Arabidopsis thaliana: one gene and its partner. The protein of the gene in region 2 interacts with the protein of the main gene of each other region in a pairwise test. Each region holds a gene or a part of one and is shown on either strand. Other genes may lie near its edges.

Region 1 (4,901 bases), on a different chromosome or scaffold from region 2:
GTCAAAACCAATATTCATTGAAAACGAAAAGATAATGAAACTTTACCATATGAAAATACAAACAGCTCTGTAGAATATATATATATTTTTATTAATTAAGGGTAACTGCATTTCTGCTGAGATAGTATTAGATAAATATCGTTGAAAGGTAACGGAATTTTAAATTCATAGTTATTGACCTTTGACTCCAAAAATCTTATCAAACTTGGAAACTTTGATAGAACAATACGTCACAAACATTATCGAAATTCAGTAAATACAAAATGGTTATTATTAACACCACAATGTCTCAAAGATTAAATTTGTAATTTATTTATAAAGTAGTACATAAAATATGGATCTTAGACCTCTTCTATACGATGTCAACTTCAACGATTTTTTTTTTTTTTTCATTTTCATTGCACCTTGAATTACTTATGAAAAGGTTTCACGAGCTTGGATAATAGTCAAAATACCGTGTTAACTGTTAACGATACCATACATCTCGCCTTAAGAAGATAAAGCAAAAACTAAATAAAAAGATAGATATAACAAAATAAGAGAAAAAACACAGTTTAGAAAGATAGATATGCAAATGATTTGATTAGATTACTCACAAATTCTAACGACTGATAAAGCTCTTTTCTACCGTCCAAATAATGTTTAAAGATGGCCTTCACACGTGGCAATTAATGAGTGGATTACAGCTGCCAAGATGCAACTCGCAATATAATAATCCTTTAGTTGCACGCTAAAATCTTTCGGCGCGACTTAAGCTTCGATGATTTATCAAAATTCTAATCAATGCGTGAAATATGTAAAGATAACATATGGTACGATCAAGACCTTTATCCATAATAATAATAAGTGTCTTACTAATCTTTTAGTATTTGTTACATTTAGATTTATCTCATGCTTTGAAAAAGGCCATCAGCTAAACGATAAAACACTTGTAGATGAATAAAAATTATGATAAACCAACACGTCCAAGAGAACGGACGAATAATATTTTTTCCGATGAGATAAAAGAGCCCACCCACCATATCAGTTCTGGTCAACGGACAACAAATAAGTAATGCATTAATCTCGGTAATAAACTACTAGTAATAACAATGGTATTAATACACTAATTTCATGATTTAATGTGCAAAGATATACTCCCACGTGCGTCAACACGTGCTCCGTGAACCTCTAGATCACTTTGTCGACAGCTTTCTCGTTTTCCTAATTTATCTGTTCAGCTTATTCAGATAAACATACATCCTCTTCTTTCCAGTACAGTTTTTAACTGAAATGTTATGTTCGAAGAACAGAAAAAGTATAATTATATTCCAATGAAAAAGTACTACTATATATTCCTAAATAATATTTCGTGGAAATGCGTCTAGGTCGTCCTTTATTTGTCCCACTAATTATATTCCATCGATACAATTTCAAACCAAAATTCATATATCTCGTCTAAGATAATTATTGTAGTGTTCAAGTTTTACTAGTCAAAAAAGAAAAAAAAAAGTTTTAGTAGTCTAGTTAAAATCGTTTATATGTTCTTTTTTTTCGTATTAGCAAACAACTAAAATAATTCAATAGAGATAATATTAATATTTTTCTTTGTGGAATATAGGATTTTATAACGTGTAATTGGTCAGATAAATTGTATATTAATCAAAAAAAATATTGAACACGGAAATTAGCCTGTGCTTCACAAAAATCAACTTTACCTTCAAAAATTGTCAATAGTTACATACAGAAATCTATCTTTTAAAACGTAAAGTTGTTTTTTTTTGGTGACGTACATTTGTAGAAAAACAAAGAAATAAAAACTATGACGTACATAGAGTTTTACTACAAAGCAATTTAACATCCTTTGACCAGAGGAAAAAAATAAACAAGTAAAGTACTGAAACTTTAGAACATTTAATTAACTTCAAAACACTAGAAAACAAAACAAAACTAGAAACAGTTTTGAATTTCTTGATTTTTTAATCTAAAATATTTCCTTTTATGAAAATCTTATCTGAATAATTTGGACTACGGACGTCATGTAGAAAGAGAAACCATTATTACTAAATTAATTAAGTTTCCAAAAGCTTTAACCCAAGTAAAAAAAAGAAGAAGAATAAAACAGAGGAAAGAGAGAGAGAGAAGTTGAATTCGACATCCAAAGAGTTTAACTTTCAGACCTGAGGAAACTCATTACGCTTCACTTCCGATTCGCAGAGAGTTTCCAACAGACCACAATTGAATAAATATTCTTAATCTTCTTTTTTTTTGTTCTTTCTCTTTCGTTAATCCAAATCCGTAAGTACTTTCTTCTTCTTATTATTATTATTATTATTATTATATAATCTCTTCCTTGTTAAAGATTCTCCATTGTTCTCTCCTTCTTCTTCTCCGCTAAAGGAATCATATTCAGATCAGTGATTCGTTTTTCTGGGTTTTCTTTTTTTGTTTTCCGAGTCAAATTTGGAATCTAAAGATCTGACTTTTGAAGCTACCAAATTTGTTTTGGCGATTGATGTTTCAATAAAGAGACAAATTTTTGTTTTTCCTTCTGAATCCATTTTTATCAATCGAGATTTGGATCATCTAATCGTCTTTTGATTTCTCAGAATCTCTCTCTCTCTTTTAGCCATTTTGCATTTCGTGTTTGGTCTCGTCTCGATCTGATTTCTCTAACATCGGAATCTGTACGGAGAAGATGGTGGAAGATCGGACATATTTGATGTCAAGGATTTTCTCAAGTTCTCGTCTTTCAGAATCAAAGTGGCCATACATGTATCCACAACCAGAAGATTCCTCTGAATCTAATCTCATCAATGGCAAAAGAGCATTGGAGAATGATGTTGATGAGCTCAGACAGAGCAAGTCTCCCAGATTGATGGGATTTTCAATTCATGGGAATGAAGCCATTGAAGAAGATGAACAAGAACAAGACCAATCTGATTCTAACAACAATGGTAATAGCGATGGCGATTCACTTATCAATGATATTGGCAGAGACAATTCTATAAGCTGTTTGATTCGTTGCTCGAGGTCTGGTTACGGTTCGATTGCTTCTTTAAACCGGAGTTTTCGGTCTTTGGTGAAGACCGGAGAGATTTATAGACTCAGGAGGCAAAACCAGATTGTTGAACATTGGGTTTACTTCTCTTGTCAGCTTTTGGAATGGGTTGCTTTCAATCCTTTTGAAAGAAGATGGATGAATTTGCCTACAATGCCTTCAGGTGTTACATTCATGTGTGCCGATAAAGAATCTTTAGCTGTTGGTACGGATTTGCTTGTGTTAGGCAAAGATGATTACTCTTCTCATGTTATATATAGATATAGTCTTTTGACTAACTCTTGGTCTTCCGGTATGAGGATGAATTCTCCGAGGTGTTTGTTTGGCTCAGCGAGTCTAGGAGAGATTGCGATCTTTGCTGGTGGTTTTGATTCTTTTGGCAAAATCAGTGATTCCGCTGAGATGTATAACTCCGAGCTTCAGACTTGGACTACACTTCCGAAGATGAATAAACCAAGGAAGATGTGTTCAGGTGTTTTCATGGATGGGAAGTTCTATGTGATTGGAGGAATTGGTGGAAATGATTCGAAAGTGCTTACTTGTGGTGAGGAGTTTGATTTAGAGACGAAGAAATGGACTGAGATACCGGAAATGTCGCCTCCAAGGAGCCGGGAAATGCCGGCAGCAGCAGAGGCGCCGCCTCTTGTTGCGGTTGTGAATAACGAATTGTATGCTGCTGATCATGCTGATATGGAAGTGAGGAAGTATGATAAGGAGAGTAAGAAATGGTTTACTTTAGGGAGATTGCCCGAAAGAGCTGACTCGGTTAACGGTTGGGGATTAGCGTTTAGAGCTTGCGGTGAGAGGTTGATTGTGATTGGTGGTCCTAGGAGTTCAGGTGGAGGGTACATTGAACTGAATTCATGGATACCATCTAGTGATCGAAGTCCGCCTCTATGGACATTGCTCGGTAGGAAACATTCATCGAATTTTGTTTACAATTGCGCGGTGATGGGTTGCTGATAAAAGGGTTTCAACAATAACTTTCAGATGATTTTTATGATTCTCCTGCCGTTGGAGATGTCGAAAGTTGCAGTCTTTTTTTTCTTATTAATTTTGGTTATAAAAGAAATTTATTTGAATTCAATTGGATACAATCATCTTGGTGGTATTGTTAGTTTCTTGGAAAGAACAGAAACAGGTCTTGTAATAAGTTTGGTGGAGAAAGTTCAGAATCTAGAGTTTTTCAGTTCTGCTATACTATTTGTTAAAATTTTTGTTTATATTCGTTTCATTCATTTTTTCGCAAAGAGACTATATTATGTGTTTTGTGTGTTCTTCTTTCAATTCTCTGATAAGAGAAGAAAAAGAGCTTTTAATCTTATAGTTGTTGTTTGCAAGATAACTTGATCTTTTGCTTGCAAGTAATACCATAAACTTTTCAATTTTTCTCCTTTCTCTTGGTTCTCTGTTTTGGGATTTTTGCTTCCTTCTTCAGAAATTATGGCAATTAATTCTTTGAAAAGTAAAAAAAACAAAGATAGACTTAATCAGGAAAATGGCAGTTTGCATCTGATTTTGACGTGTAGGTAGGTCTCTGTCATTTTCTCTTTGAACTCTCAGCCTTGCATGACAATACCTAAGATGGGCTTGCTATGCTAATTTCAAATCTTTTATGCATACTAAATGATCCAACAAGGCAATCACCCATCTCTATCTAAAACTTCAACGATTTTCAAGCAAATCTTCAATTAAAATATTTAAAGCTAAAGCCATGATAAAACTTGCAAATGAAAGATATATGGCCAAGAACGAAGGAACAAAATCATTTCAGAGCTTAAACAAAAGAGTCACAAAAAGATTCAGAATACTGATTGTGTCCAACTAAAAACTTAAAACAACACCAGAGATAACGATAAGT
Region 2 (5,185 bases):
GGTTAGGGTTTTTGAGAGAGAGATCGACGTTGAGCGTTAGGTTTAGGAGGACTTTGAGAAGGAGAGGATTGACGGAAGCTTGGAGACGATCAACGGTGACGGAATCGATTGTAGTAGTTGGGCGTTTTGGTTTGAAGAGAGTGAAAGCTAAGATGACGATAACTATGGCGATTAGGAGAATGAGAAGGATAGTGAAACAGATACAGATTTTGCAGTTGCGTTTCCGCCGCAGTTTTTTAGCGGTTCCGGTGTTAGCAGATTGCGTTTCCATGGAAGAAGCGTTTGGTTTGGGTGGTGGTAACATGGCTGTTGCTGGCTTCTCCTCTTCCTTTTTATCATCGGGTTTGATTGAAAAATCACTCATAGTTATTACTCTCTTTGTTACGCTTTGTGGTTCTCTCGCTGTTGAGTTTCTCAGGGGTTTTGGTTTATCCTATAAAGGAGGAGACCACTATTTGTACGCGGATTCGTTACCAGTTTTTAATTACATGACTCAAACACATTTCATTTTAATAATTTGTTATTTTACATTTTAATATTTCTTGATTTTCCACGAGTATATTTTTTAAAAAAATAGTTAATTGATGAAAATTACATTTTCATAAATTGGGAAGAATTTGATGAGATACTAGTTTTTTTTTTTTTTTTGGTGTATGTCTGTAAATGGAATCTCAATTTAATTTTGTAACACACTTCTAAATTCATAAAATAAGTATTTAGAAAAATAAAATAAAAACGGATAAAAGTATAAAACATACATAATGTTCGTCGAACGTCGTAAAGACAGCTCTTTATAAAAATGGTTGTTAGTTGAATTTTATTAAAATCGGTATTGATTGAGTTGAGATTTGACCATTTTTAATAATGTTTCGAAGACGTGCATTAATTAATTCAGCTGGACGTGGAAGAAGGGAGATGATAAAAATAATAAAGTGAGGTTAGCGGTAGAAATCAAATACTTCACATGGCTTTTGTAAAGAGACCATGCTTGATGCATCATCCGTCGCTTTTGCCTAATTTCGTGTGGTTATTACGTAACATATTCAATGACTAATTCACCGTCTTTTTCTGGGCCCATTTCTTCATTTACACGGGACGACTTCTGGATTTTGGCCCGTTTAATCTGTCTCTCTTATTAAATTCATCATGCATTTGAATGCCCATTTGTTTTATTGACTTTTTGCTGTTGAGTTTCTGACATTTTTTTAATCCCACGATAGAAGTTATTAGAATCACATCATTGAAAAGTAAGTTTCCAATAATTTACGATACTTTTACCTAAACATTTACTCTATTTTTTAGTTTTTTTAAAAAAAATTATTAGAAAATTTTGAAAGTCAACTATAGTATTTTTACCAAAACGCATTGAACAATAGCATATGAATTAGAACATATTCAAATTCTCAAATAGATTGTTTTAGTGATTTAGTCCAATGTATTAGAACAAAATTTAATGATGTTTCATTTCTAAACCTTTTATCTTACAAATTGGATAACCAATCAATGACTTTTACTTATAAAATAATATGGCTGGTAAACAAAATAACAAATAAACATAAATATCCAATTCCAAAATAATAAGTCGATGCCGGATTTTGACAACCAAAATAACGGTGTAAGATTGTTATAGTGTTTGTAAACATGATTGATGGTCGTATATGAAAGCAATACTTCGTATAATTAAAAAAACTTACATGTGTGACTATGTGATGACGTTTTTTCGTGTAGTTGACTCATGAATTTTTTAAAAATACTAATAGTAAAACAAAATAATTAAATATTTTCGAAGAATTCTATCAAGCAAACTAATCAATTGTCACAAGGTTTATTGGGCTGGGCCATCCATCACAGCCCATAAAAGTTAATTTCTTTCAACCCCTTAAACGCTGCGTTTTAAAAATATTCAATATTAATTTTATCTTTCTACGATCTACGATGCTTCGGATTGGTTCGGCTGGTTCGTGCTCGAAATTGAGATTTTGAAAGAAAAAAAGAGCTCTGAATCATTGAAATCAGCTTAATTCCAATCTGAATCTGCAAAAAAGTCTTACGTCACACTCCCATGTAGTAGCCGTCACTTCTCGTCTTCCTCCTAGAGATTACCCAACTCTCTCGCTTCTTCTTTTTCCTCTTAGGGTTTCTTCATCCTTTAGGGTTTCCACAAAAATTCAAAACCTACTTGGAAATATTTGGGCTTGAAGAAGGAAGAATTAGATGGAAGGAAGAAGGATTACGGCAAGCCCTAGACCTTGTAGTGGAAGAAGAATTGTGGCTAAGAAAAGGTCTCGACCCGATGGATTCGTCAACAGTGTTAAAAAGCTTCAACGAAGAGAAATCTCTTCTCGTAAAGATCGAGCTTTCTCTATTAGCACCGCCCAAGAGAGATTTCGTAACATGCGTCTCGTGGTATGTTCTGAATTTTCAATCTTTTGTAATTTGCCCTAATTCCCAAACCCTAGAGATTGCTTCTCTCTCTTAATTGGGATTTGATTTGAGTACTAATTTAAGCTGCTCTTGCTTGATGAATTTTGATTTCAGGAGCAATATGATACTCACGATCCTAAAGGGCACTGTTTAGTTGCATTACCGTTTTTGATGAAGAGAACTAAAGTTATTGAGATTGTTGCTGCAAGGGACATTGTTTTTGCGCTTGCACATTCTGGTGTTTGCGCAGCTTTTAGTAGAGGTAATTATCGTAACTTGACTACTTACTCTCAGCTTTGTGTCTATGTGACTGATAGTATGATTTACCTTAAACTGCAGAGTCGAACAAAAGAATATGCTTTTTAAATGTTAGTCCAGATGAAGTCATCAGGAGCTTGTTCTACAACAAGAACAATGATTCTCTCATCACAGTTTCTGTTTATGCTTCAGACAATTTCAGCTCTTTGAAATGCAGATCCACTAGAATTGAGTAAGTTTTCTACCATCTACCAAATCGGTATCATGTCGTCTGTTGCGTTATTCAAACTAATGTGTGTTTCTGGTTGTAATCAACTATTAGGTATATTCTGAGAGGTCAGCCGGATGCAGGGTTTGCTCTTTTTGAGTCTGAATCATTAAAGTGGCCTGGTTTTGTTGAGTTTGATGATGTCAATGGAAAGGTGCTGACTTATTCTGCGCAGGACAGGTTATTTTTCTAGTCTCACAGCCTAAATTTTTTTTTACGACAAGTTTCATCCTCTGAGCCTGATAGCTGTTTCTGCAGTGTATACAAGGTGTTTGATCTGAAAAACTACACCATGCTATATTCGATATCAGATAAAAATGTCCAGGAAATTAAAATCAGGTAACTTTTCTCCATCTTTCTTTGACCCTTTTGTTGTTTCTTGTTTGCAAATATTGAGCAAGCTGCTTTTCTAACTGTGCTGTCCACTAGATTGGATTGACAGACTTGTGAATTTTCTAACTGTTGTGCCCATTTGATTCCCTGCATCAGTCCAGGGATAATGTTATTGATCTTCAAGAGAGCTGCCAGTCATGTTCCTCTGAAGATTCTGTCGATAGAAGATGGCACTGTTCTCAAGTCCTTCAATCATTTGCTTCACCGAAACAAGAAAGTTGACTTCATTGAACAATTCAATGAGAAACTTCTTGTTAAGCAAGAGAATGAGAATCTTCAAATTCTTGACGTGAGTTGATTTTTTGTCTGATTCAATCAATCTTTTAGCTGTTGTTTTACTTGTTTTCTTTATCAAGTTGGTTTCTGATTTACAAATTCAGGTCAGAAATGCTGAGCTAATGGAAGTTAGTAGAGCTGAGTTCATGACACCGTCTGCATTCATATTTCTGTATGAGAACCAGTTGTTTCTGACATTCAGGAACCGGAACGTTTCTGTGTGGAACTTTCGCGGAGAGCTCGTTACTTCCTTTGAGGACCATCTTCTATGGCATCCAGACTGTAACACTAATAATATCTACATTACAAGTGATCAAGATCTGATCATCTCGTACTGCAAAGCAGATACCGAAGATCAGTGGATAGAAGGAAATGGTAAGAAAAATAACCCCTCAAGATAATATTAACCAGATATTATAACCTAACAAATCTCATTGATGGATATTGATTATTGGTGTTTTGTGGGATGATCCAGCGGGATCAATCAATATCAGCAATATATTGACTGGGAAATGCTTAGCTAAAATAACACCAAGCAGTGGGCCTCCAAAAGATGATGAGAGCAGCAGCAGTAATTGTATGGGAAAGAACTCAAAGCAAAGAAGAAACGCTGTAGCTGAAGCTTTGGAAGACATAACCGCTCTTTTCTACGACGAAGAACGCAATGAGATATACACAGGAAACAGACACGGCCTTGTTCATGTGTGGTCCAATTGATTTCACATACATCGTCATCGTTAGCTGCTACTACTACTACTACGAATGTATCATTTGGTTTCCTTCAATTGTGTGTAGCGATAAATCTTTTTAACTTAGTGTCTTTGAGCAGCCATCTGTGTTGTAAACCATTTGTGGGCAAGTGTGCGCGTCAGAATGCCAGTTGTGTACACTAATACCATTGTACGTAACATTTGGGTTTTGACAATTCTATGAAAGACCCTTTATTCCACCTGTAAGGTCTCACTTTAATTTTCAAAATTGACTTGATTCAGATAGTTGAGCATCAACTTTGTATGATTACACAAAAACAAGCGATTGATAGAAAATCATCTCATTGCTACCACACCATTGTGTTTTACATTCACTTGAGAATACAAGCTTTACCAGTTTCTTCTGAAAGACTACAAATCTCTAAACCAAACATAAGACACTAATGTGTCGGAAACAAAGATAGATCAAATGTTTAAATTCACCAAGACGATGACAACAGATACAGCAATGAACTTCAGAACTGAGACTTGTCAAGGCTGTCAAAATATGGGTGATCAAGTGCTGTTTTTGCTGAAATTCTTTCGGCTGGATTGTACTTGAGCATTTTCTGCAATTGTACAAACATAAGCTCAATCAGAAAGATTTAACCAAGCAATTCAGCTTAGGAAAAAAAGAGGGAAGCAGAAGCAAGAGGTAACAATATTAGAGCAACTTTGCAACAAAGCTATGGTCATCAGGGAGTTATTTACCGTGAGAAGATCAACTCCTTGAGGTGAAAGAGAAGGAACAGCAAGAGTTAAGTCTTGCGGCTCCCACTTAGGGTAAACATGCCAGTCACGCAGTGTGGAAACACCC

What was found. Proteins that work in one complex are often made in the same cells at the same time.
Region 1: the proteins of AT3G54190 (region 2) and AT1G14330 interact in a two-hybrid assay, tested with the Arabidopsis thaliana proteins (one large-scale study listed by BioGRID).

What each region holds. Positions count from the first base shown.
Region 1 is NC_003070.9:4,889,477-4,894,377, reverse strand, and holds AT1G14330 (Galactose oxidase/kelch repeat superfamily protein), read left to right. Parts: upstream 1-2,045; 5' UTR 2,046-2,677; coding exon 2,678-4,003; 3' UTR 4,004-4,309; downstream 4,310-4,901.
Region 2 is NC_003074.8:20,060,910-20,066,094, reverse strand, and holds AT3G54190 (Transducin/WD40 repeat-like superfamily protein), read left to right. Parts: upstream 1-1,933; 5' UTR 1,934-2,214; coding exon 2,215-2,406; intron 2,407-2,538; coding exon 2,539-2,686; intron 2,687-2,763; coding exon 2,764-2,914; intron 2,915-3,004; coding exon 3,005-3,130; intron 3,131-3,208; coding exon 3,209-3,289; intron 3,290-3,439; coding exon 3,440-3,632; intron 3,633-3,723; coding exon 3,724-3,994; intron 3,995-4,094; coding exon 4,095-4,336; 3' UTR 4,337-4,677; downstream 4,678-5,185. Other genes in the region: AT3G54200 (Late embryogenesis abundant (LEA) hydroxyproline-rich glycoprotein family), read right to left, coding at 1-364; CDKB1;1 (cyclin-dependent kinase B1;1), read right to left, coding at 4,845-4,937, 5,080-5,185.